Coturnix japonica: one gene and its partners. The protein of the gene in region 2 purifies or fractionates together with the protein of the main gene of each other region. This does not show direct contact. Links are inferred from orthologs where the notes say so. Each region holds a gene or a part of one and is shown on either strand. Other genes may lie near its edges.

Evidence for each region.
Region 1: the proteins of PHB (region 2) and RB1 purify together in Homo sapiens (affinity purification with western blotting; 3 studies listed by BioGRID). This does not show direct contact. The link is inferred for Coturnix japonica from reciprocal best matches to the Homo sapiens genes PHB1 and RB1.
Region 3: the proteins of PHB (region 2) and SLC25A5 purify together in Homo sapiens (affinity purification with mass spectrometry; 3 studies listed by BioGRID and IntAct, with this or other methods). This does not show direct contact. The link is inferred for Coturnix japonica from reciprocal best matches to the Homo sapiens genes PHB1 and SLC25A5.
Region 4: the proteins of PHB (region 2) and CANX purify together in Homo sapiens (affinity purification with mass spectrometry; 3 studies listed by BioGRID and IntAct, with this or other methods). This does not show direct contact. The link is inferred for Coturnix japonica from reciprocal best matches to the Homo sapiens genes PHB1 and CANX.
Region 5: the proteins of PHB (region 2) and EMC2 purify together in Homo sapiens (affinity purification with mass spectrometry; 3 studies listed by BioGRID and IntAct, with this or other methods). This does not show direct contact. The link is inferred for Coturnix japonica from reciprocal best matches to the Homo sapiens genes PHB1 and EMC2.
Region 6: the proteins of PHB (region 2) and STOML2 purify together in Homo sapiens (affinity purification with western blotting; 3 studies listed by BioGRID, with this or other methods). This does not show direct contact. The link is inferred for Coturnix japonica from reciprocal best matches to the Homo sapiens genes PHB1 and STOML2.
Region 7: the proteins of PHB (region 2) and NDUFS3 purify together in Homo sapiens (affinity purification with mass spectrometry; 3 studies listed by BioGRID and IntAct, with this or other methods). This does not show direct contact. The link is inferred for Coturnix japonica from reciprocal best matches to the Homo sapiens genes PHB1 and NDUFS3.

The regions. Positions count from the first base shown.
Region 1 is NC_029516.1:151,029,307-151,032,806, reverse strand, and holds part of RB1 (retinoblastoma-associated protein), read right to left. Parts: intron 2,680-3,500; coding exon 2,569-2,679; intron 774-2,568; coding exon 625-773; intron 1-624. UniProt on the Homo sapiens protein: Tumor suppressor that is a key regulator of the G1/S transition of the cell cycle. The hypophosphorylated form binds transcription regulators of the E2F family, preventing transcription of E2F-responsive genes.
Region 2 is NC_029542.1:2,952,336-2,956,591, forward strand, and holds the start of PHB (prohibitin), read left to right. Parts: upstream 1-1,456; 5' UTR 1,457-1,556; exon of another isoform or gene 1,557-1,662; intron 1,663-2,013; 5' UTR 2,014-2,051; coding exon 2,052-2,139; intron 2,140-2,514; coding exon 2,515-2,676; intron 2,677-3,160; coding exon 3,161-3,303; intron 3,304-3,461; exon of another isoform or gene 3,462-3,573; coding exon 3,574-3,690; exon of another isoform or gene 3,691-3,717; intron 3,718-4,049; coding exon 4,050-4,145; intron 4,146-4,256. Other genes in the region: ATP-dependent RNA helicase DHX8, read right to left, coding at 399-510.
Region 3 is NC_029519.1:15,436,811-15,440,802, forward strand, and holds SLC25A5 (ADP/ATP translocase 2), read right to left. Parts: upstream 2,551-3,992; 5' UTR 2,453-2,550; coding exon 2,342-2,452; intron 2,205-2,341; coding exon 1,718-2,204; intron 1,612-1,717; coding exon 1,471-1,611; intron 901-1,470; coding exon 743-900; 3' UTR 501-742; downstream 1-500.
Region 4 is NC_029528.1:4,533,817-4,537,951, reverse strand, and holds the start of CANX (calnexin), read right to left. Parts: upstream 2,801-4,135; 5' UTR 2,696-2,800; intron 1-2,695. UniProt on the Homo sapiens protein: Calcium-binding protein that interacts with newly synthesized monoglucosylated glycoproteins in the endoplasmic reticulum. It may act in assisting protein assembly and/or in the retention within the ER of unassembled protein subunits.
Region 5 is NC_029517.1:119,278,183-119,281,682, reverse strand, and holds part of EMC2 (ER membrane protein complex subunit 2), read right to left. Parts: intron 740-3,500; coding exon 654-739; intron 481-653; coding exon 421-480; intron 1-420. UniProt on the Homo sapiens protein: Part of the endoplasmic reticulum membrane protein complex (EMC) that enables the energy-independent insertion into endoplasmic reticulum membranes of newly synthesized membrane proteins.
Region 6 is NC_029547.1:7,860,553-7,862,752, forward strand, and holds the end of STOML2 (stomatin-like protein 2, mitochondrial), read right to left. Parts: intron 1,923-2,200; coding exon 1,843-1,922; intron 1,622-1,842; coding exon 1,493-1,621; intron 822-1,492; coding exon 690-821; 3' UTR 501-689; downstream 1-500. UniProt on the Homo sapiens protein: Mitochondrial protein that probably regulates the biogenesis and the activity of mitochondria.
Region 7 is NC_029520.1:20,332,147-20,336,190, forward strand, and holds the start of NDUFS3 (NADH dehydrogenase [ubiquinone] iron-sulfur protein 3, mitochondrial), read right to left. Parts: upstream 2,801-4,044; 5' UTR 2,718-2,800; coding exon 2,672-2,717; intron 2,599-2,671; coding exon 2,530-2,598; intron 2,161-2,529; coding exon 2,063-2,160; intron 1,810-2,062; coding exon 1,660-1,809; intron 819-1,659; coding exon 693-818; intron 315-692; coding exon 195-314; intron 1-194. Other genes in the region: KBTBD4 (kelch repeat and BTB domain-containing protein 4), read left to right, coding at 2,930-2,948.

The DNA of each region.
Region 1 (3,500 bases), on a different chromosome or scaffold from region 2:
GTTCTAGGCTGAAGAGCCCCAACTCCCTCAGTCCATCCTCATAATGGAGATGCTCCAGCCCTCTGATCATCTCTGTGGCCCTCCTCTGGATCCACTCCAAATGTAAGCATTCAGCATACTATCCACGGCTGGAAATAAAATGGGAAGGAATTTACCCACTTTTCAGCCTCTTTCTTCTAGTCATCTGCTCAGATATTCAGAAATAAAGTCATTTTCACACAGAAAGATATTTATCAGCAGAGAAAAAGGCGAATGAGGCCTTCAAGATCCCACACAGGAGTGCATTAGTAGCAGTTATTTTCATATTGTGAGATACAGCTGTGACCCCCCATCAGAGCAGGTCTGCATCCACATACCAGACATTGGATCAGTATGAAATTTAACACAGCATTCTTCACAGTTTACCTTAGCAAGGAAACTCATCACCCACATCATAAGAAGGGACTTAATTTTGTTAACCTACCTACTAGAGAACTGTAGAATGGCACAATACCTTCACTATTGAACTTGAGAGAATAATTAGTAAACACAAGCAGTCTTTTAAAACCGAAATGCTTAAATAAGCACATATCCCAGTAGGGGTTTAGCAGCAAGATCCAACATATATTAAAACACAGGCATTACCTCATCTAAATTACAATCATGCTCTTTACAAAGGATTTCAATAACTTTTGTATCTGTATCAATTTGCTTTGAAGCGCGTGCATTCCTGTTCTGACCTCTTCGTGGGGTTCGAGTTGAACCATTAGCAGTCAGTGCAGTCACAGCAGACTCTGAAAAGACAAGCAGAACCATCACAAGTTTACATTCATCTTAAGGAAAAACAACTACGGTAACTTCATAGATTTAAATATTTATGACTTCTCAGGCAGTCTTAAATCTTTCCCTTTTCATCTCTTCAGCTGGGTAAGCAACCTCCATTACAAAAACTTCTACAAAAAAATACCAATTTTTCAACTCCTTTATCAGTATCTGGACATTCTGTTTTTACAAGTATTCAGTGCCACTTAATAGCACTTTTTAGAAGCAGCTGTGAATAAGCAGCTGCTCTACTGCTTACTTCAAATGAGGTAAAAATGTTGCATTTTCACAGAATCATAGAATGACCTGGGTTGAAAAGGACCACAATGATCATCCAGTTTCAACCCCCTGCTATGTGCAGGGTCACCAACCACCAGCCCAGGCTGCCCAGAGCCACATCCAGCCTGGCCTTGAATGCCTGCAGGGATGGGGCATCCACAGCCTCCTTGGGCAACCTGTTCCAGTGCAGATGGCCTCAATATCATCACCTTGAAATATCCAAATTATATTAACATGATAATACAATTACATGCTTTAAAACTGATACTCTTTATCAGAGAGCTGTTCTCAATTATAACTACATTTGCATTTGTTAACAGTTCTATGAGTAATTCTGACAAACGACACTGCTCTGGTGGTTGCATCTTAATCCCCACACTCTTAATATCACAAAGCTTGACATTGTTTAGCATAATGTGAAGCCTCCTGAATAATGGTGCTACTTGCTAAAGGAATGAAGCAGTTTGTGACAGTTTCAAGAGTACCTGTACCAAGTGAGAAATATGCTTTACAATTATGACAGCGATAAAATACACACAGCCTGTTTTTTAAATAATGAGGTGTTAGTCTTTACATTTTCCCTATGGATATTTAGCTGGAAAGCAACAGAAGAGCAGGAAGATTCAGGCTGTTAATTCCAATATCTCATTCAAATCCAACACCGGATAAACTTGTGTAGTATCAAAAACTGTTCTCTACTTCCTAGGGCTGCAAATACTATAGAGTATCAAATCCATAGATTGTGGAATAAAGTACTCAACAAAGAGCAAAAATGGAGTTCTGTCTTTCCAAGTGAAAAGTAAACAATTTCTCTGACTTTTGATTGACATTTCCCATGCTTTGAGTACAAAAGTTGGACATACAACAGTTTATGTTGAGTGGGAGTTCTACAGGTAAGATCCATTACATCTGTGTATAAAATAAGGAAGAAACATGTTCTAATAGAAAGTGAATGTATTAAATATATATATTAAAATATACACCTCTTTCTTTACCATTTTGAGCTATCACAGCAATCGTTTTTTTTAATCCATCACGTATTTCTTTTTAATGCCTGCATAGTCCAGTACCTTGCACACTTCAGTTGTCATCATATTGCTAGGAATCAGTGAAGCAAGAACCACAGCACCACCTTCTCCTTTTGTATTTCAAAGCAAACCTAAATAATAGTACTCAATCGTTGCCATCTACCCAGAACCTAAATTACTTTACTAAGCCAAGACTACTCTTCTCACAAGCTTCTGAACAACTCAAATGGAAAGGGGACATGGGAAAGAGATAGAGGAATTGAAATATGTTAAATACACTGCCACATTAAAATAACTTAATTCAAATCCATCATCATCTAAATTGAATTAAAATACTAAAAAAAGAATCAATTTCAATACACTTTGGCAGTTTAACTGCGAATGTTAGCAAGACTCCAATGGAAAGTTAACCCATTTATTTTCCACTTTGATTTAATAAACAAAAAACACAGAGTCTTACTGTATGGTTCCTTGAGCATAGCAGGAGGTGACAGTTTGATAAAATAATCTAAGACACACAGCAGCAACTGGAAGGAAATCACCAGGTCATCTTCCATTTGCAACACTTTACCTGCAAACATTTAAGAAGTTGATGTGAGATACTCAACTTTAAAGACGTTATCTGAAAAATTAAGATGTGTGAGTTTATTTAATAAAATACACTGTGATTAGTAAGGAAAACATCATACAAGATGTCTGTTCTTTAAAGCTCTCAGTAGCCCTCCCTCATACATTTTTCACTTCGCCACAGTGGAGTAGCTGTGCAAACCTCTATCAACACTTACCTCATTTCTCTGCAATTCCTCCTCACTTTTTATGACCTTAAAACTTTGCTTTGTTGAATACTTAGCAACCTTCAAATAAATAAGCTCCTAGTATACAGTCAGGAGAAATTCAAAACATGCTGACTGTACTTTCAGTCCTTCCATTGCATTCTTCCATTCATGGTTTCTGGATTACGCCTATGCTTGGATAATTCCAGTTAAAAAGATCCACTATCTCTGCTACTGAAATTGGTTTAGGATCAGCTGAGAAAAAGAGACCTGAAGAGGGCAGCAGTTAAGACATGATGCACTCCAATTAACAGGAGCAGTATAAGACGGGACTTCATGTATTACCAAAGCCAAGCTTCATCATTCAGCTTTAACTGGGACTTCGGCCTCTTCAAGGACAATCATAGTATTTAAAGAATATAATCTCACAGAATTACTTTAAAAAGATCTGCCTGTCTTTTCAGGTAGTCAGCCATATGCTAATACAGGCAAACTATAACACATATCTCAAGTGCAGAATAGCAGTGTTCCAAGTAAAAAACTCGCTGAAAAATTTATTGAAGATATTTTTACAATGGCAGCAGTATCAGCTAAAGGAATAGCTAAACTGCATAGAAAT
Region 2 (4,256 bases):
CACATTTACTAGATCAGGTTGCCCAGGAGACCCCATAGATCCCCATAGAGACCCCATAGATCCCCATAGACCCCATGGACCCCATAGATCCCCATAGAGACCCCATGGACCCCATAGATCCCCACAGAGACCCCATAGATCCCATAGATCAGGTTGCCCAGGGCCCTGTCCAACCTGGTCTCGAACACCTCCAAGGTGTTCAAGGGCAGCACCCAGATCGATCCATCTACCTACAGAACAGCAGCATCCCCTTCTAGGCGCTCACATCTAAACGTTTTATAATATTTCTTTTAGAGATATATTTTATTCTTCTCAATTCCAAAGGCCTTTCGTTGAAGGCATCATGGCCGTCAGGCCCGGTTACAACCTCCCCACAGCTATCACCCCACCTCACTCACCCAGATCCTTATCGTTGATACCCAGGTGGTTGTCAAGCTCGGTGCAGACCTTAGAGACCAGCGATAAATACTCGAGCTTGGCGAGCTCCTCTAAAGCCGCCAGGTCCGCCATCTTTCCCCCACCCCCACCCCACACACCAGGAGCCACTTCCGCATCCGGGAAGCACCGGAAGTCAAGCTGATCATAGAGAGGATAGAGAGCTAGAGCGGCTCTGTCCGGATCCAATCAGCGCTGGGGGGTGCCGGAAGTGGCCGTTGCTAGGCGACGCTTGCCGCCGCCATGTCGGCCTTGCACTGGGAGGCGAGGCGAAGGCAGGCCGCGCTGGAGCGGCGCAGGGCCGCGTTAATACGGGTGTGTGTAGAGCGAGGGAAGGGCTGGGGAACGGAGCTAGGGCGGCTCTTATAGCCCCATATGTACTTTGCAGTCCGCGGGCTGCTCTAGAATGGATACGAGGCACGGTATTGATAACAGCCCGACGCAGGCATTGCCTCCCGGTGAGCAGAAAGCGGCCCTGGGGTTAAAGGAAGGGCTGAGAGCCGGGCTGGGCTCTACTCAGCTCTACCTTGTTCCTATTATAGAGCCTCAGCCGTATCGTTGCTGCTGCCCGAGTCATCAAGCGTCCAACCCAAGTGCCAGGCTGCCCAATCGCTTCACGGTAAGGAGCTGCCTCAAAGAGCTGAGATCCATCTGTTTAGAAGCCAAAGTAATTTCCCTTTGCATCTATAGGCTATTCAGTACATGCAGCAATGGTGAGGACCACAGACCACAACAAGCAGAGCAAAGCACCGCCTGTGTACAGCACAAGGAGCCATGTCAGCTAAAGCTAAGAGCTAAATAAAATAGCACTGCGCCTCAATGTCAATGGTCTGTGTTAAGCATTAAGCTCCTTCCTCTGCCTGGGCCTGCCCGGCTCTGGGGTTGCAGGCCCAGAGGCTCATTGCTATCAGCGAGCTAAACAACCAATAGGAAGCAGCCTTGCTCAGCATGTGGTACCGCCGCGAAGCTCGCTGGGAGTTGTGTCCTACCCTGTAACTACAATAACAACGAAGAACTACAAGTCCCAGAATGCCTCGTGGAAAGCGCGGGCCAATAGGGAGAGGGCGTGTTGAGGTTGCACGCATGCGCGGTAGGGTGGGAGGCCGAGGATTCATGTGGAGGTCAGGGGAGCTGCGGGAGGAGAGTGGGGTGGGAGGGGGCGGAGGGTCTTGGGGTATTGGAGCTGAGCTGGGGGCTGAGGGTACGAACGAGGCCTTCACCCGCCAGGTCTGTGTCCTGAGAGTCAGAGGCCTCGGGAAACGTGGGTGGGAGGAGGGAGGGGGGGAGAATGGGGAATTAAAGGGGGTTCGAGGTGTGGGGTTCCTCGAGGGGTTTTGGGGGGGGGGAAGGGGGGGATGTGGGGTCTTGGGTTCAGAGTCCAAGGTGATAAGGGGGGGGGGAGTGGAGAGGCCTGTATGGCTGCTGAGGGGCAAAGAAATTGCTATTATAATGAATGATCCCATTTCATGGTGGGCTTTTTGGATTGGGGTTCCATCCCAGCTCTAGGTACACACTAGGGCTGCCTGGTTTTCTCGTTTCCTATAGTTTTACCGAAGTTATGGGATTTTTTTTTTGCAGGAGGTTCATCATAAAGGGGTTAGAACAGCACGTGAGAAATGGCTGCCAAAGTGTTTGAGAGCATTGGGAAGTTCGGCCTGGGGTTGGCTGTTGCAGGTGGAGTCGTCAATTCTGCTCTATATAATGGTGAGTGGGACAGGCTGAGTGTTTCCAGTTCTCTTTATGTCCTTATTATCTGGCTGCTCTGTGCTTTTATTGCTTGTGGTATCTGGGGAAGACAGTGATAAAGCCTCTTTCAGGGCTGTTTTGTACCTTGTGCATTGCATAAGTAGGAGGAATTCAGGCTTTTTCAACACAACTCTCTTGTGAGCAGGCTGAGGGCTCAGTGGTAATGGATGAGTATTCTCTTTTGATTTGTTATTCCTAAGAATATTAATAGCTTTGCCATTTTTACATAGCAAAAAGCCTTAACTAACCTCCATAGACTGTCCCTATGGAAGTTTTGCTGCTGTGCAGATATAACTCATGATGCTACTGAATCTATGTTGTTTTCTTTTCCAGTTGATGCAGGACACAGAGCTGTTATCTTTGATCGATTCCGTGGAGTCCAGGATACGGTGGTAGGAGAAGGAACTCATTTCCTCATCCCCTGGGTACAGAAACCGATCATTTTTGATTGCCGTTCTCGCCCACGTAACATACCTGTCATTACTGGCAGCAAAGGTGAGGTTTGGGACTGGGCAGCTCTATAAGATCCAGGCACTCTGATGTGCACTGTGTGTGTCTCACTCTTCTGCTGCTTTGGAGCTGGGTGGGCAGAGGCATGAGAAAAAGCTTTTTGAAGACACTTATGATCATTAACGTGCTAGAGGACTATAGGAATGAGGGTTTTATCTCTGAACATGGAGATTCTATGAGTGTAGAGTTTAGCAGTCAGGAATAGTTTGATACTTATCCTTTAAATAAAAAGTCTGTGTTTACTGTAGGGTAATTCCCTGCATTACAGACAAACTGAAGCTTCAGTTTAATCTGTAAGGAGGATTTGGATCCCTATGTGAAATATAGTCCTTGGTTAATGAAATACTACAAACCTTTCCTTTGTTAGAAGTCTGAATGTTTGTCTTATTTTGCTTTCCTCTGGAGGGGACAGCTTCAGTATATCTCCTGCCCATAAGGTTTAATGCTAAATTTGTGCCTGTTTCTGCAGATCTACAGAATGTGAACATCACGCTGCGTATCCTGTTCAGACCCGTGACTGCGCAGCTACCCCGGATCTTCACAAGTATTGGGGAGGACTATGATGAGCGTGTCCTGCCCTCCATCACAACTGAAATCCTCAAATCTGTTGTGGTAAGAACAGCACAAATGCTGGGGTCAACCTGTCGCTTCTCTTTTGTTTTAGCACTAATGAGACGTGCTGAATTGTGGAAAATGTGAAGCTCTAAAATGAGGCTTCTCTTTATACCCCTTGGCTCTAATGTGCAATACAGAAGAGTTAAAACTGTATCTATGCTGATTGCTTCTCTGTCGTTTTAACTACTTGGCTTTATTTTCATCAAGTTGGGTGACAAGTAGAGCATCTGAGAGCTTTCTTCTCACTGTTGTCCATCCTGACTTCAGGCTCGCTTTGATGCTGGAGAATTGATCACTCAAAGAGAACTGGTCTCCAGGCAAGTGAGCGAAGACCTCACAGAGAGAGCAGCAACTTTTGGCCTCATTCTGGATGATGTGTCCTTGGTAAGAGTTCCCTTTCAGTTTTTCTCCCTGTGCAAATAGGGAAGAAAATTGGTAGAGGATCGGAGAAGAGGTGTGAAAGCTTGTGTATGTGGACCCTGTTTGTTTGCAGTTGCACATGATGCAGTGGTTACAGCTCAAGTCAAAGTAGTTGGTTGTGTCACTGGCCACCTATAGACTTTGTTTTTTAAAAGGATGGAAAGCTTGCTAGGTTTAGTTTCTGTTACACTGCATTCTTTTTTTTAGCGATACTGACTTTCCATCTTCTCTGATAAAGGCAAAACGCCTCCTGCCTTAGACATGTGCTGTTGGTAGCAGTGTTGCTGTAAATGCTGTTGTGGACTGTGATTTCTGCCTTGCAGACCCATCTGACCTTTGGTAAGGAATTCACCGAAGCAGTTGAAATGAAGCAAGTGGCCCAGCAAGAAGCAGAGCGAGCCAGGTTCATTGTGGAAAAGGTACTTTATTCTTTTGAGAAACTTTAGCTTGGAAGTAGTTCCTGGTATCTCAGTCATTTCTTCTCACAGTGAATACTTTAGTCACCTGCCCAGGAAACCAGGCAGGTATAT
Region 3 (3,992 bases), on a different chromosome or scaffold from region 2:
AGCCCAACACCTCCATGCAATGGCAAGCCTAGCCAGGGGCTTTGCAGAAAGAGCAGCAATTACCCACACTTATTTTCTCTGGCTGAGTTTTAACATGCCCAAGTAGGGAGTTCAGTTTCTAAGCCAGAACATGTGACGCCAGCTCCGCTCTTCCAGGCTGCTGTGGATACTCCTTACGACTTCCCTCCAGTCCCCAGATGTTTAGTCCAGTGGGTGCTTTGCAGGAAAAGGTTCTGAAAAGAGCCTTCATCAGCCCCATGGAACACACAGCCCCAAGGCAGGACTGGTGGCACAAGGCCAGCACATGTCCCTTAGTTACCACCAGCACTCACTGCTGACCTCCACCAGGCTGGAAACACTCTCTCAGCAGGCTGCACTGCATTCACGTGCTGGAGCCCACAGTCAGTGGGTCATGCAGGGCTCTGCCTTCCCCCTCTACAATCACAGAGGTCCCTGGCCCCTCACACTGCAGCTGCTATGAGAACAACCATGAGACAAAGAAAGCTGGCATCGGATTTTTATTTCTTTGTACTCTTTAAACAGGAGTGACTGAAATAGAAACCATGTTTGAGTCCCAGCAGTGGGAATGATTTGATAAAGACGAGGCAGGAGGTTGTCCCTGCCCCATGCCAACCTGTATAAATATCATCCGTTACTGTTAGTAACTAGACAGTTTTCATACAAGTCCATGAATGGTCATAGATAACATATTACAACATGCCACTTCAGAACAAGAAATAACTTATGTGTACTTCTTAATTTCATCATACAGCACTAAGACGAAAGCACCACCCATTCCTCGGAGCACATTCGACCATGCACCTTTGAAAAACGCCTTGGAGCCCTCGTCCCGGGCAATCTTCCGCCAGCAGTCAAGAGTGCCACTGTACATTATGTCAGCTGTGGGAACAGACAGTGTTAGAAACCTGCTGCCTATGACCCCCAAAGTCCAAGTCAGAACCCACCTAACGTATCTGGCAGTTGTACAACCTCATGTATCCATTTCTTGACTTACTTTTAGACGATGAGATCGCCCAGGCTTGTGTTACCCCCAGGAGACACTGGAAGGACCAGTCTGAGCAGAAGGCAGCTACTGTTTCCTAGACACCAAAACTTCCAGTCCCAAAAGCTACTGCAGTCAGCCAGGCCGTGCCTGCACTGAAGGACAACCCTTCTTAGCCCAGAGACATGAGTTTCAACATCCTCAGGCAAGCTCTGCCATTCCTTCTTACTGAACAAACCCAACCTGCATGTTCCCCTTACAGGGATGCCACAAAGCCAATCTATTTGCCCCCACCTGACAGCTGCTTCTGCAGTCCCCTCATATCCTGCAGTTTACAAGAGGAGAAGGAATTTAAAGGCCTTGGTGAAGGGCAGCACACACTCCTGCCCCCAGCACAGACCCACTGCCAGCTGTTGATTCAGGGATGCCCACCAGCCCCTAACACAAGGAGGGAGGGAGCGACTTACTTCCTTTACGGCCGGACTGCATCATCATGCGGCGCCGAACTGTATCGAAGGGATAGGAGACCAAACCGGCCACCGCGGTGACCGACTGAGCGATCATCCAGCTGACCACGATGTGGGTGTTCTTTGGGTCGGGGAGCATTCCTGCGGGAGAGAGGCTCTGTGTGACATCAGCAGGCGAACCGGCATCACGCACAGTGCAGGGCTAAGGGCCCACAGCTCCACGGGAGCGCCGTGCCACCCCACCTACCCTTCGCGGTATCGTAGATGCCGAAGTAGGCGGCTCTGTAGATGATGATGCCCTGGACGGACACGTTGAAGCCCTGGTACAGGCCCTTGAGGCCATCCGAGCGGAAGATCTTCACCAGGCAGTCACCGAGGCCGCTGAACTCGCGGTCGGCCCCGGCTTTACCCACGTCGGCGGCCAGGCGGGTCCGGGCGAAGTCAAGGGGGTACACGAAGCAGAGCGAGGTAGCGCCGGCAGCGCCGCCGGACGCCAGGTTCCCCGCGAAGTATCGCCAGAACTGGGTGCGCTTGTCCACGCCGCCCAGGAAGATCTGCTTGTACTTGTCCTTGAAGGCGAAGTTGAGCGCTTGGGTGGGGAAGTACCGGATCACGTTGGCCAGGTTACCCCGCCAGAAGGACAGGACGCCCTGCTCGCGCGGGATGCGCACCACGCAGTCGATGATGCCCTTGTACTGCTTGTCGGCGGAGATCTGCTTGCTGGCGTGCTGCACCTGCGGGGGACACAGCACCAGCAGCACTATCAGCACCAGCAGCACCAGCAGCGCCGTCAGAGCGCCCGCCCGCCGCCCCGCAGCCCCCCTCTCCTTGACGACCTTGGAACGCCCGCCGCCCCCGTCCCGCCGCTCACCTGCAGCAGCAGCTTCACCCGCTCGATGGGGGCGACGGCGGTCTTGGAGATGGCGGCCGCCACCCCCCCGGCGAGGAAATCCTTGAGGAAGGACACGACCGCGTCGGCCATGGCGGGAGGCGGCGAGGAGAGGCCGGGCGGAACGCGACGGGGGAGGCGGCGCTGCGGCAGCGAGGCGGGAGCGGGGCCGAAATGGCCGCGTTATATACGGGCGGCGGAACACACGTGGGCGGGGGCGCGCCACGGCAACGCGCCGCCGCGTTCCACACGCCCATTGGCTGCGGGAGGGGGCGGGGCCGCCGCAGGGGGCGGGGCTTAGGACCACCGGGTGGCGCGGAGCGACGGGAACCGGCGGGAGACACCGGAGGGATGGAGCTGAGTGCGGGGCATGACTGCACACACAGCCGGGATAGAGCCCTGTGCGGGACATGACTGCACACACAGCCCGCATAGAGCCCTGTGCGGGGTATGAGTGCACACACAGCCGGGATAGAGCCCTGTGCGGGGCATGAGTGCACACACAGCCGGGATAGAGCCCTGTGCGGGGCATGACTGCACACACAGCCGGGATAGAGCCCTGTGCGGGGCATGACTGCACACACAGCCCGCATGGAGCCCTGTGCGTGGCTCCATTAACAGCCGCGTCTCCCACGTGCCTTAATATCTCTTCCAGGACCTGCTCCGTGATCTCAGACTCAGCAGCCTGCAGCTCCCAGCTCTCCCTTCTAAGCAGATGCAATCACACAGCTGAGAGGCTTGGCTGATACAAAGTTAATGAATGGTTTATAGGCCTCAGGAGTAAACTGTAATACAGAGGGGACAGTGGCATCCCACAAACAAGTGAGAGGTACCTTTTTGACTCGCTTGAGTCTCATGAAGTTTCAAGAGGCGAGTTAACATTTATATGCACCCATCATCCCATCTTTAACATCTATTTAGAAATACAACGTCAGTAAAAACAAACACAAAAAGTCCATGTAAAAGCACGGCTCAGAAACCAGTTCTTCCCAACTCGCTCACAAGTCGTATTTCCTTATTTACACACATCAAATAAATGTCAATATTGTTAATGACGCTTTACAAAGATAGGGAAACCGAGGCAAAGAGAAACATGTTCACTAGGCAGGTTGATGAGAGCCAGAAATACTCACACAGCCTCCACGTGACTCAGAAGCCACAAGAACTGCTCCCTGTCACCCTGAGTTCTGCTATCAATATCTGTGCTTCTCTGTCAGAAGAAAACCAGCCACTGTAGCAGTGCACAGCAAGCCCATTACTGGAGATACAAGAGCTCAGCTGTAGGGTACATCAGTGTTAAGAGTGCAAAGCAGGTCTTACAATTATCTCAGGTAATGGTATTATGTTTCCTGAAAGGGCCCTGGCCTGGTGAGAGGCCTATTTAACTGCAGTGGCACCAGTGAGAACCTGGAGGTTGTGCTAAGTTCCCAACCTAAGGAAGGGCTGTGGGTCCCAGAGTGCAGAAGTTCAAGAGGGAAAGTGAGAGGATGTGTACACGGTGCTCTTCTGCAGGCAAGGTCTGAGCAGCACAAGGGTCTGAGAAGCAGTTTAGCATAAAAATAGAACTTTAAGAATAGTGGAAAACATCGTAAGGCTCGTGGCTCTGAAATAACTCAGGTACACAGGAGAAAGG
Region 4 (4,135 bases), on a different chromosome or scaffold from region 2:
CTCAACAGCTGAAACTGACTTGAGCGCATGTAAGCAACAAGATTTACTAGCAAAGCCCTGTGTTCAGTGCTACACTTTGTTACTGTATTTACAGAGGAAGCACAACTGCAAAACTAAGCACAGTGCATCCTCATGCAAGACAAGGGCCGGGGAAGAAAATTGTACAGACACAAGTCAGTACATTCAAACAAAACTGCCAGGAGACCAAAAGGAGGAGCAATACCCGCCCCATCCTCACCCCCTTCAAACGACATTCTCATTATTTCTGAGCAGGACTTGGCTATTCCACAAGGCAGGCCAATAGTTCCTTAAAGTTCAAACCACTGAAGAGCGGAGGAATCTCTGACATCTTGAGATCCCTTCACTTTCCACATCCTGCCTCCTCTGCTGTGTCACAGCAACTGCCTGCTGGTGAGCAGGGCAGGCCCTTTAAGATGGCTAAAAACCCTTCTGCTTTAACCTGTCATCAATGCTCCAGTCCAGTACACAAAGGCAGAAGGTGCTGTAGCAGGACAAGTAGCCAAGGATAAAGGATGTTAAGCTGCTAGCAGCAGCATCAGCTTTATGCCAACGTATCAGGTACACTGCAGGCATCCACGCCTGTCACACAGGCCTCTCATTAGGCAGACTTGGGAGATCTACACTCCACAGCAAAGCTAGACCACTAACCTCATTGCCAAACACTGTGATCTCAGCATCCAGATTCCCACCGCTCCTGAGAGGGATATAATAAAATTATGTTCATATCTACAGCAGCTCATACGATACAGACCAAATTTTCCCCTTAAGTGCTCAGTTCTGCAGTCAGACAGACTCCAGTAGTGCCCTGCCTTGCTTTCAACAGGCTGGAGTTCTGTGTGTGGGTGGTATCGTTGGTTTGGCTTTTTTTCTCCCCTCACAAAGGAGGGGTGGGGGCAGGACACACTGCTACTCTGAGAAGGGATCAGCCAAACCTGGAGCCCCCACGAGCAACAGAAAAAGCCACCCTGGTTGGACTGCAAGAAGAACAAACCAAGGGATTAGGTGTGAAAGGTGACAGCAAAGCTCGCCTTTAATAAGCACTTCAAATACGCCAGTTTCTAAAAATAATGTACAACACTGCAGAAACAGCAAGGGAGAAAACACCATGTACTGTTTGTCAGCACAGAGATCCCCGCAGAACTGGAAGTCCTTGGAGGACAAAGGCAGAACTGCAAGGCTTCTTGGCCATAAAACAGATGGACTGCAAGGGAAATTAAGGTAGGTGGGGAGAAATGTGGAGGCGCCTCAAGATCTTTGAGATCATGCCTAGAAATCAATTCAGGATTGCTTTGCTACAGAATTGATTCCAGCAAGAACAGGCTGCCATTTTGTTCACTGCAAGAGGCAGAAAAATGAAAGGCCAGGAAAGGAAATACAAGGAAGGGCTAAGTACAAGTTACAGGGTGCTCTCAGTGAAGCATTTATTCATTTACTTAGCGGGAAATGCTGCAACACATTGAATGAAAGGGCAAACTAGAGGAAGCTGTGAGCTTCCTCGCTGTTCTGCATTAGGCTTCTCTTCCAAAAGGGGCAGCCAACACCAGGAAACAGTTAACGTCCTATAGCCAGCTTGTCAAATAGTATGTAGAAATAGTCTCTTCATTACACATATATTTAAGTAAAGTGAAGTAAGTGGAAATATTGAGACTTAAATACTGAAGTTTAACTAGAAAAGGGCCAAGCATTCTGAATAAACCCACATAATGTAATAGCCACTCTCGTGCACCTCAAGTGTTTTTGTAGTAATATATTAACTTCCATTTAACCCATACTCTTAACACTGTTATATCACACCTTATTACGGTTCTATTATCTCCTTATAATACACATGGGTTATCACTACTTGACAAACATTAAATAACAGACTGAATTTCAACAAACATCACGTTCCCGGAGCCCGGACCTCAGGCACCAGACAAACCCCAAACGAACTCGGTGTGTTTTACACGATGCTCAGCAGCGTTCATTAACATCACAACCGCTGAAGCCCGGAGCTGTAGGTAACCCCAGCCAGCACCACATGGCAGCTTCCCTTCCCAATGAGCTCACCCGCAGCATTTCTCTTTCCACCGCCTAGAAAGTTCTGAAGCGCGGGACGGCACGTGAAAGTTCACTCTTTAGGAGCAGAGCAGACAGCGCTGTCACGACTACGAGTGCTTTACTAAGATTTGTAATTCAAAAGCACACGGCTGAGACCCTCAGACCAGCAGTGCGAGCTGAGAGCCCTGCGCTGCAACCAGCCCAGCCCGTGAGGCTCACAGCACGGCGGCTCTCAGCCCGCACCCCCACCTGTTGTTTCCCATTGCACACCCCGTTGTTTCCCATTGCTCATCCTCCCCGTCCCCTCACTCCGTGCTCTCCCCCCCTCGTGCCGTCACGGCCCCGCTCCCCATCCCGCCCATCCCCGCACAGGCCGCAGCGCCGCCCGCCCTCAGAACGTACCAGAAGGCGCCGTTCCCGCAGGGCTCAGCATGGCGGCCCGCAGCTCTCGGCCGCACACATCCCTCCCTCAGCGGCTCGGGACCCCCCCGCTGCCCACAAGGCCCACGCTGGAGGCTGAAGGCTCGAGGCCCGGCACCCCAACACCGCACCCCCCGCACCGTGCGGAGCCCCGCAGCCCCAACAAACCCCCCGCCATGTGTATATATGTGTGTGTGTCTGTGGAGTCACTCACCGCACCCCGCAGCACCGCGGACCCTCCCGCCGCCCCCGGCCCTCACCTCCGTCACGTGTCCAGGCGCCCAGCGCCGCCGTCGCCCGCCTATCTATTGCGCGCCAGCTCCGCCCCCCGGCCCACCTCTCTTCTCTTCTCCCATTGGCGAGCGGCGCGCCCACCCTCCCGCCCCTCCGCCCGTTCTGCGTTCTGATTGGCTAAAAGCGCCGCCGCTCAACGGCCCGCCCGCCTCAAAACACGCCCCAACGGCGCTGCCCTTCGTGGAGCGCTCCTATTGGCTGGCGAGGTTGCAGGAAGTGCGCGGTGATTGGCTGGCCCAGGGGAGGCCGTTGAGATGTGGGCGGGGACACGGCCGCTCTCTGTGGTGGGGGCACGGCCGGGGCTGCGGCCTGGGCGCATCGCCTCACAGCGGGGTTAGGCTTCAGAGCGGGGTTAAGGCCCCGTAGCGGGGTTAGGCCTCACAGCGGGGTTAAGGCCCCGTAGCGGGGTTAGGCCTCATAGCGGGGTTAAGGCCTCGTAGCGGGGTTAGGCCTCACAGCGGGGTTCGGCCTCGTAGCGGGGTTAGGCCCCATAGCGGGGCTCGGCCTTGTAGCAGGGTTCGGCCTCGCTCGCTGCTGTGCCGGGAGCTGCTCGTACTGCTGGGGCTCGTTCACCTTCATCGCTCCCTGGTGTTTCTTTAACCCCTCGGAAAGCGTTTTCAGCCTGTTAGGAAAATATCTGTGTGTCTGGTACCCCTTAGTCACAGGCTGAGCTGAGGGTGTGGGCCTGGGGCCGGGCAAGAGGCCTTGCAGGCCTTGTGTAACGCCGGGTTCCCGAAGGAAGCGATGCGGTTGTGTCAGGGTGTCTGTGAGGCCAGACGAGCGGAGGAGGGCGGGGATGCAGAAGTAACGGTTCTGGTGGCGGAAGGAAGGGCTGAGGGCTGAGGGGAGCGGAGCAGGCCCTGCCTCCGCTGTGCCGCCCGTGGGAGCTGAAGCCGAACGTCCCGGTGCCGGCTGTGGCCTCCGGGGAGCAGGGAAGGGGGGTTTTCCTTTACAAACGTCGTTCTGCTCTGAGCCGACGCGGTGAGTCAGCAGCGTTACGTCTCCTCGCAGAGAAAATTCCACCCCGTGAGGACAATGCCGGCACTGACCCAGCTCGGAAATGAGGCTCAGCATAAATGAGGTCAATCAGCAAATCCCGCTTGTGCTGAAGTTTGGGATCTGATGGTCGCAGTTTACCCCAAAGCCACCGAGCTGGCTCCTGTGCCTCGCTGTCAGCTGAGCTGCGCCCAGCCTGAATGCGGAGAGACAGGCAGGGAAGCAGCCCCAAACGACAGGCAGCAGGTGAGATACCAAGTGTCTTAAATAAGAAACCAATGCTCTAAAAGGTAACAAAGGTGTTTAATTTAGCATGTTCCATCTCCTCCCTGGGCAAAATGCAGTTTTTGCCAGGTACCATCCA
Region 5 (3,500 bases), on a different chromosome or scaffold from region 2:
AGTTCCTGCAGAGATAGTCTAATTGAAAATACGAGTATTGCACACAGTTTGGTCTGATCAGTGGCTTTTAGAGACAAAGAATTTAAAATCTATACCCAGTAAAAAACATCACTTGAAAAAAAACCTAGAGAAAATGTGCTGTTCCTTGCTATGCTTAGAACATTAATTAAAAATAATGGATTTAATGAATGCCTGAAACATACAAGTAATTATTTAAATTCTGTTTTAAAATCAAATACCTTGTTAATGTCTTAGCAGTCTGACAAGGCTGTTAATTATTTCCTGACAAAGTTTGTTATATTGCAAATGAGACTTCATGCTTTCTAACATCAGTTCTTCAAAATAATCACTGAGGTTTTTCACTTGCACAGAACATATTTCTATTTAACATTTTTTATGAAGACTTTGCAAACGACTTACTCATGTTCATTGATGTAAAGTTCTGCAAGTTCATGCCAAGCTTCCTGGTCTCCAACAAATCTGTACAGAAAAGACAAGAGAGAAAAAAAAAGGCAAAAAAGAAAGAATGTGTAGAGGGATTCTGTAAATGACCAGCATGGAAGGAAAAGCATAAATCAAATGCAAATTCCATTTTAATTAAAAAGATTTATCAGAATAGCAACACACAATCTGTATTCTTGTGAGACACTCACTGTTCCAGATATTCATTCAGCTCTCGGATGGCCTCAAGATTTTTCCCCTGGGCTTTTCGAATGGCAATCTTACGCTTCCTTGCTGCCTATGGGTTGACATTAATAAAGGATTAGGGTCTCATAATTCCCTGGGTTTTTGTAAAGAAAGCAATTTGACTGTGCAAATTATTATCTCAATACCAGTGGAATTCCACTGCAGAACAACTGCTAGGTTGGAGTTTATAAACATACCCTATGACATCCCACTGAGAGACTGAAAACCTTTTCTTACAATCACATTATGTATGCTTTTATTCAGAGGCACAAACTGTATGCATTACTTCATTCAAATAAGTGACTGTCCAGATTCTAATAATTACAAAACAGCAGGAGATGCTAATCTTCAGCCATTCCAGAGACCCCCACCTTGTCATTCATGAGGTCCAAGACTACAGAGGAGACGTGGTGACTGAGTTTTGGAGAATCCCACAGATACGTCTTGGTCACCACTGTATAAATATGGCTTTCAGCCATTCTGAAAGATTCTCATCGAAGCGCTAAATGCCATCTTTAATTACTGTTGAACATACACCAACTGCACAAACAAGCTTCTCATCACTTTTGGAGCACAAAGTAGGCTTTTCAGTGTAAACAGAATATAAAAAAAGCTGTTTTGATGGCAAAAGCAAACAGTACTTCAATATGTGGGCAGAATATGTATTTCAATGCTAACAATGTTAAAACAAAGACTTAATAATTATAATGTACTGAAATGTTGAACCCCATTAGACTTGTTATGAACCACCAGGAGAAAATATACACAGCATTTTAATAGCTAATTATTATAGTCCAGTCTCCAAAACACATTAGTTACAGTTCTCTAAACAGTCTCCTGACCTCTAGGAGTTTAAATTTAAGGTGCACTTAAGGTGTAATTCAAACCAACAGACATCTTCCCAGTAGTCTGACATAGTTTGGAGCAAACAGAAACACACCTCCACCAGTCTGAAAGTCATCAGATCTGGAATCTGACAGAATAATAGTTCCAAACTCCAGCATAACGTGCCTCAAAGCGCACTATGGGCCAAATACTGTGCTTGTAAGCCGTGCTCCCTGGGTGATCACAACTGCTGTGGTCAGACATGAGAAGACAGATGGTCTGTTTTGCATGATGTATCTGCATGAAAACACACACTTCGATGTCTTTTCTTCGTGAGATAATAATATTCATGAAAAGCTTGTACACCGTTCCTGTAATACAGTCCCATTGCTTATTACCCTCATAACTCTCAGCCCACTTCATTCCTTACAGAGAGGTTATTAAGTTGGGTATAGTCTTACAGAAGCCTTAACTGCACAAAAGCAGATAGTTCTCACTTTAGTTTCTTCACGATTAACCTTCCTAAGATTACACTCACATATACCCTGAAAGAGTTTGTGTATTTTTACAGTGTTTTAAATGTCTGTTCTTTTAAACAGTTCCTTATCCTTAAATGTCATTTGACAAAATTCATTTCTCTTGGAAGAACACTGCAGTGCATACATCATTTATGTAAACTACTTCAAGCTGGTCAGTAACATAAGAAACCAGAATAACCAGACATGTTTTTAATGCTAACTGTAGGTTTATTCTTTACTTTGAGTTTGTCCTCTTCACCTCCCTCAAGCACGTATATTCATTGCAAATCCAGTGAAAATAATTCAAGGAAAAAATATCTCACTCTTCAGTTTAAACACAAAGCAGAGGTGAAGAGATGATACAGAAATGATAAGAATTAGGATACAGGCAGCAGGGTGGTTTTACCCACAGTCACTTTGTTAGCCATTGTGTCTTTGTCAGACTGCAACCTGTGAAATGACATTCATCTTTCTACTTTTACTGGGAGACATCTGGCTAAAATCCAGAACCGACTCTCAAAGTTTTAACTGCTGACCGCGTTTATCACTACAGCAATAGTACACAGTTTATTTTATTAGAGAGCTTTTAAAAGAAAGATAACAGCATAGTTAAACCTTCTTAAAGTTTTTTTTTTATTATTATTTTTAATTTTTTTTTAGTGTAACAAGAATCAGATAACATGTTTATCAACTGCTACTATTACTAAACCAAAACCACAAAGCCCAGATCCCGAAACACCAACTCGGTGGTTCCCTATCACATTTTATGAAGAGTGTTTCGTGAAGCAGATCATTACCTCTGCCATGGGGGAAGTGCTGCAGCAGTGTCAAACTGCCCGCCCAGGGCTGGGATTACCCACAGCTCACTGAGCAGGAAGCCTCAAAGAAGAGGGAGTGGGATAACCACCTAGGAAGCCAAAGGAGCACAGCCTGCAATTATGGCTTACAAAGACAGAAGGCTTTTTCCAGGTGACAGACTACCTACTTTCAAATGTAAGTTTTGGGCTGAAAATTCAATTGGTATCTTCAAAATTTTAAGTGCAAAAAGAGCCATCAAGAGACCGATCAAAAATAAGCTGCCTGAGAACTGGAATAATCTGTTTAATATATAAAATCAATCAACGCATCTGACAACTTAATTGGCAATGACAAACAGGAACACTCTATAAATGAGCCATCTTCCTATTTCATTCCTAATGCATTCAATTGCATGCAAAGGAAGTCCTCTAAAAGCGACTGCAAACAGATCTTCTCCATGGCTGTTTTATTTCCTAACCACAATAGTCCCAAATAACATAAATCACTGTAACGAGATGCAAATTTAGGACAAGCTACAACTACTCCTCGTCAAAGATTTCAGCTGATGTTTACTTATAACAAACATGTCATGTGATGTGATCAGACATCAAGGGTAAAGGGGTAAAGCACCAAGTTCTGATGGTAACACCTCAGAATAAGACAAATTATAAG
Region 6 (2,200 bases), on a different chromosome or scaffold from region 2:
AGGAGCTGAGGGGAGGCTGATGGCGGCTGCAGCTCCTCACAGGAGCGGAGGGCAGCGCTGAGCTCTGCTCTAACAGCGATCACGGCCACGAGCTGCCGGAGCTGAAGGGGTGTTGGACACAACTACCACTCCCCTACATCCCCACTCTGCCCCTGCACCTGATGGAGGGGGTTCAGCATTCACCCTCTGTACAGGCAGCTGCTCCGATCCCCCTCAGCTGGTACCTGCCAAACTCCGGAGCTGCTCCCCTCACTCCCTACATACTGACACCAGCACCAGTTTCCAGCACGTTCCTCTACCCACCCCCCCAGTGGCACCAGCAACAGCTCGAGCTGCTGCATGCAACCACCAGCACAAGGCTCCGTGTCATTCCAGAACCAGAACAGCCCGTGGGCACAGGCTCTTCTTGCGGATTGTCACAGGCACGGAGCCTCTCAGGACAGTCATCACTTCATGCTGCAACCCTCCATGTCAGGACACAGCTCTGAGCACCACAAGGATGTGCTGTAGCGATGGTACTATTTATTACGTGATCAGATTCAGATACAAAATAAGGGCCAAGGGAAGAAGAATGTCTAGCTGAGGAAGGTGGTGGAACAGGGCTCCCCACAGGCTCGCAGGCCCTGGACAAGTATCCCCTTTCTGGTGGGTGCTGCCCCATCAGTGTGTCCAGTGTCTGTTCTGCCCCACTAGCTGGAGGCTGCCTGCTCTGCCTTAAGCATCTCTGTGCTGAGGGGCTGGGGGTCCTCATGGGCTAGAGGTAGCTCATCCCGAGTCTTCACAGCTTGTGTCTTGGTCAGCGTGGTGTAGATGCCCAATGCCTGCAGGAAATGAGAGAGCCATCAGGGAGGAGATGAGATGCACTGGATGGATACAGGAACAGAAATGGTCATTTGTCCCTAGAGAGGGCCCTGTGGGACAGCAAGAATACCTGCAACAAGGCTGTGACAGGAGAGGACAGGGTGTGCATAGGGCTGGGACAGAGCAGGCCCCACAAGGTAGATAGGGCCACAGCAGCTTCTGAAAGGGCTCTGCTCAAAGCCCTGATGTTGTCAGGTCACATCACCATTTTAAGACAGCTGCATGGGGAACTACTGCTAGCACACAGCAATGCCCTCAGGAACCAAGCCAAATCCCTGCTCTACACTCAGCTGCATGCCAGCAGAGCAATGGTCGAGACTTACATATCGAGAAGACAGAAGTCAGCACTTACCTTGTATTTTTACCAGCTTGTTCTGCCCTCTCTTCTACAGCAGCAAACCATCACAGGCCTGTTTTGCAGCTAGGGACAGCTACACCAGAGACCGCCTGGTTTCCACAGGATGCTGCAAAGCAGCTGCTCCAACCCACACCTTCTATCCCAGACCCACACACTGGGCCCATTTCCTCATCTCCACACCTCTCACTCAGCACAAACACCCATCCACCACGGTAAACCTGGTTGTCACTTTCACTAGCCCCCAACAAACAGGATCCCATTGCTGACACTGACCTGTGCTACCATGTGGGTGACATCACCAGTGTTGGTTGGCAGCAGGACTGTGTTGGAATCTTTGGCAAGCTTGGAGAAGGCGCTCACATACTGCTCAGCCACAGAGAGAGAGGCTGCTGCACTGCCGTGCTGGAGAGAGACAGATCAGGCCCATCAGGAAAGATGCCAAGTCATGTATGACCAAGAGCTCAGCCCAGCCTGTTCTGTGTGCAGCTCATCGCAGAAATTTTCACTGCTGCTCAGGATGCCAGTAGACATCACATAGAAAGCCATGTGCCACCCCAGCTTCAGTTTCACCTCCCTCAATGCTAGCACCAAAGCTCTGGCTTCCCCCAGTAGCCATGGCTTACCTGCTGTGCCAGAGCAGCTGCCAGGAGCTGAATGGCCTCAGCCTTGGCCTTAGCTCTGACCAACATGGCATTGGCTTCTCCTGCAATGAAGCACAGCAGAATGCGCATCAGAACTGAGACAAAGTGCTTGCAATAATTACAGCAAGACAATTTCATTCATGCAAAGCTTCCTTTTCGATAACAATACCTCAGTGCTGTTCTACAACAACCCTCCTCCTACCCCTGTGGAGGGGTCTCAAAGGCCCTAGCAGAGAGGAATGAGCAGCTGAAGAAGCCTGGCCCACAGCGATGCAGTCTGCTCTCAAGGAGTATCACCCCTCAGCCCAGAGCAAAACAGATCCCCCCAGGCCCTAGTGAT
Region 7 (4,044 bases), on a different chromosome or scaffold from region 2:
GAGCTGCCTTACTGCAGATGATACATATGATGATTTCAGATGCTGAAGATATGTACAGCTTGCTGTTAAATGCACCAGTTAAATGTCTTTAGCTCCCTTTTAGATGAAAGATTATAAAGCAACAGCATCTCTGTATAACTCAGATAAGACTGTTTCAGAGATTTTATAACTTCAGACATGAATGCATCTCCTACCTCTACATAACCAGAGAGTGGAAAGTCCTTCCGGAAAGGATGGCCTTCAAACCCGTAGTCTGTGAGGATTCGCCTTAGATCAGGATGGTTGGCAAAGAAAACACCATACATGTCCCAAACCTAAATGAAAGGGAGACAAGTTGAATTAGACTGTCTATCTCCATTCTAATCTCTCTAGCACCTCCACGATTCACTAGGTCACCTGGAGGCCAATCTAACCATGAAAACAAACAAGCCTAACACAGGCTCCTCTTACTTTGAACAAAGTACCCTTTGTTATTATATCCACAGGATTTCAGTTCCTTGCCTGGTTTTGTGCACTACCAGTGCAAGTCATAAAAGAACTAAAGAAAAAACAACCAAACACCTTTGTTTCCCCCTGTTCAGAATAAGAAGTCAGTGAAACGCTTCTTTCTTTCTCAGTGCCCTAAGTATCAAGTTTGATCAGGAAAACACAGCCCCCCTCAAGAGGCTGCTCCCAGGTAGGCTGGCACTCACCTCCCTTTCATACCAGTTTGCTGCTTTGTGCACAGACACTGCTGAGTCAATAGGTGTCAGCTCATCAGTGTATGTTTTCACACGGATCCGACTGTTGAATCGCAGAGACAGGAGATTGTAAACAATCTGAAGCAGAGTACAAGAAGGCATTGGGCTTGTAAGGACTTTGAAGGTCTCTTTGCAATATAGGACAGGCTGAGCAAAGATACATCGAGCCCATTTCAAATACTCCTTTTCAGCAAAATCATGTTCAGCTCTTAGGAGCTGGGCACTGAAAGGCACCGTAACTGAGAGTCCCATGCACTATCTCTTCCTTAGAAGTGTAACAAAAAGTATGTGGGATTTATAAAACATCAATTATTGAAAAAGAGTTAAAGTAATGAAGAACAGTAAATCTTAAAGAAAGAGAATACTGGAGGGATGAAAACACTTGACAATAGCCTGTCTCAAAGAAAACAGCTACCAAGTACTCTGAGTATCCAGTGATCCAATTGGAATGTTAAATTTGTTACCACAGATAAACCAAGGGGAAAAATAAACCAGTTACTTTTCTTTATCCTTGTAACTTGCTGGGAATTAAACTACATCATTTCTCCCATTTGAAGGATGATCCGCCCAAATTGGACAGAGGAAGGAGAATTGTTAAGGAGAAGATTGATGGGATTTTAAGGAAAACTGTGACTGTTTGTGTTAACAGCAGCTGACAGGCCCAGGAGGAAGAAGGAAGAGCACCAGATTGTATCAAGCCAGAAAGAAGGCTTTGTATAAACAAACCAAAACAAGCTACTACCACTCCCCACAAAAAGACTTCTAGCAGAACAGAACAGGAAAGCCTAACTAGGAATCCATGCAGTATCAGACTTTTTTGTGTGTGTGAAGTACAAAATCCAGTTCTAGCTGCAACAGCACCCATGGCCATTAGCACCTGTGAAACTCTCTGAGCTTGGTGTCTCAGAGCAGTTCTTACCTCGAAGCGGTACTGCCGAGATGGGACATCAACAGCAGTCAAGTCAGCCAAGGACTTGAACTGGGCATTAGTATGATCTCGGAGGAAGGTCAGAACTGGAATAATCCCATCTGGATGGATCAGAAGCTCCAACTCATTGAAACAGGTCACCTGATGAAAAGGATGAAAGGGAACTTGCACGTGCTAACAGGATTGAACGCTGCACAGAATCCAGCAGCACATCATACAGAGTACACAATACAGCAGACACAATGACATCAGAGAAAGTGGCTCAACAGTAGTTGTAATTTTCATGCAATTCTGACCATCTCCCTTCCACACAACAGCTTCTGACATCTAACAGGTGGTGTGTTCATGCCGTCCCTTGCCTCCCAGCAAGAACAATTAATTGCGGAGCACCTACCTGTACTTGCTGGATGTACTTGGGCAGGATCTCAGCCACATACTCCCCGAATGCACAGAGCTGCTTCTGTTCCACTTCATTTTTCGGTCTGACAGTAGCTACGGCAAACAACAGATTCCAGCAGGGCACGTCACAGAAAGAGCAGCAACACTCAGCACCTCCTTAAAAATCCCTTTAACCACTCTCAGTCTCTCAGTAGCTCTTTCAGAAGCAAGGCAGATTCAGGCATCCCATAAAGCTTACACATGGTAAACCTGAAGCTAAATATACAATACATGCACAACGCAGTGCAGAGTTTGCTATCATAAAAACGACATCAAAATAACACCATAAGGCTGAGGGACACTGCCTCTGAGCCACATGAATAACTGAGCTACCTGAATAACTGAGAACCACCTCAATAACTGAGCTACCTGAATAACAGCCCTCCGAAAACAGCCCCCCCCTCCAGCCCCCCTTTCACTTACGTCGCGTCTCCGTGGCCGAGCCCCCCGCCAGCCGGGTCTGCACCGCCGCCGCCGCCGGGCCTGCACCAGCTGAGGACAGAATGGACACGCTGTTACCCAGCTGTTTTCCAGCTGTTACCCAGCTGTTACCTCCCGCTCTCACCTCGCCGCACGGCCCAGGCCAGGCCCCGCACCGCCGCCGCCAACATCCCGCCGCCGCCGCAGCACGGCCGGGCAAGGGCACGGACCGGAAGCGGAAGGACTCGCCGCCACCGAACTACTTCCCCCGGGAGCCGGAAGCGCGCTGGGATCGCTCGGCGGCTCTTCCGGGTGGGTGCCGGAAGCGGCGAGTGCCTGGCGGCGCCTGGCGCAGGGTGAGGGCCGAGCGGGAGCCGCTGGGGCAGCACGGGGCCGAGGCGGCATGAAGGGAGGAGCCGCAGGTGGGTGTCGCACCGTTTTGTTTCTGAGCGTTATGTTGCTGTGAACCCCACGTACTCCCTCGCGGTCTGTAGCCGTTGCTGACGCTTCCCCGTGACGCGGCCCCTCCTGCCGTGGGGTTGGGGCTGCGGTTGTTGGTGCTTGGCTGGGAGCGCTGCGGGACGGGCTCGGACCCGCTAATGCTGGAAGTGTAGGGCTGAGCTGTTCTGGGTCACGACCTCAGTATCGTGGAGCATCACGGATGGTGCAGCCGGTCCGATGAGTGCTGTACAACAAAGGTCATGCTTAAAACAGACCGTCCAAGATGGGAGGGACCTGTCCAGCCCGTGAGATGGGGAACAACCTCCTGTGAACAAAGCGTCAGTGAAGAATGAGGAGCCGTCCTGCACCAGCAGGGCTGATGCAAGAGCAGGAGTGTTTGAAGGCATGGGAACAGGGAAAGTAACCATTAATCTCCTGGAGAGAAGTCATGCGTTTGAGAAATCATGTACTGGAAATCACGTGCAGAAATAATCAGTTCAGTTTTGCTTTCAGTCACCATAGTTGGATAGTCGAGGTGTAGAACTAGAGGGAATGCAAACAGGCCTCCGTTTGTTAATGCTGCCAGGAGCTGTGTTAAAGCCCCTTTCCTGCAGCAGTCCTTAGCTGGGTCAGAAGCTTCTTCAACTCGGAACACTGCCAGTTATCTCTGTCGCCTGCTCAGCAGTGTTGCAGACCGAGTTCTCCTTGTCACTTAGGAAATGGTGACTAACGGCATCTAGCAAGTTGTTTTGTATGCTGAAAATGAGTGGCACATCAGCAAATATGGCCATCAGTTACCTCGTATACTTCGCTTGAGGGACTGATGGTTGTGCCTGGCAGATTTTTTGGTAAAAACAAAATCACTTTACTCGATGCGTTGCAAAAACTCAAACACATTGGATGCTAATTAACTGATCTTTGCATTGCGATACTTTAACCCCTTTCTCTTCCACCCAGCCCAGCAGCAGTAGCGTTGCTTTTCTTGGCTTTGCAAGTATTTCTTTGTGCCAGTGAAATGAGCTGTGGAAAGATGCAAATCTTCTGATTGTGCTGGGATGCTGTGCTCACTGGGAGTTG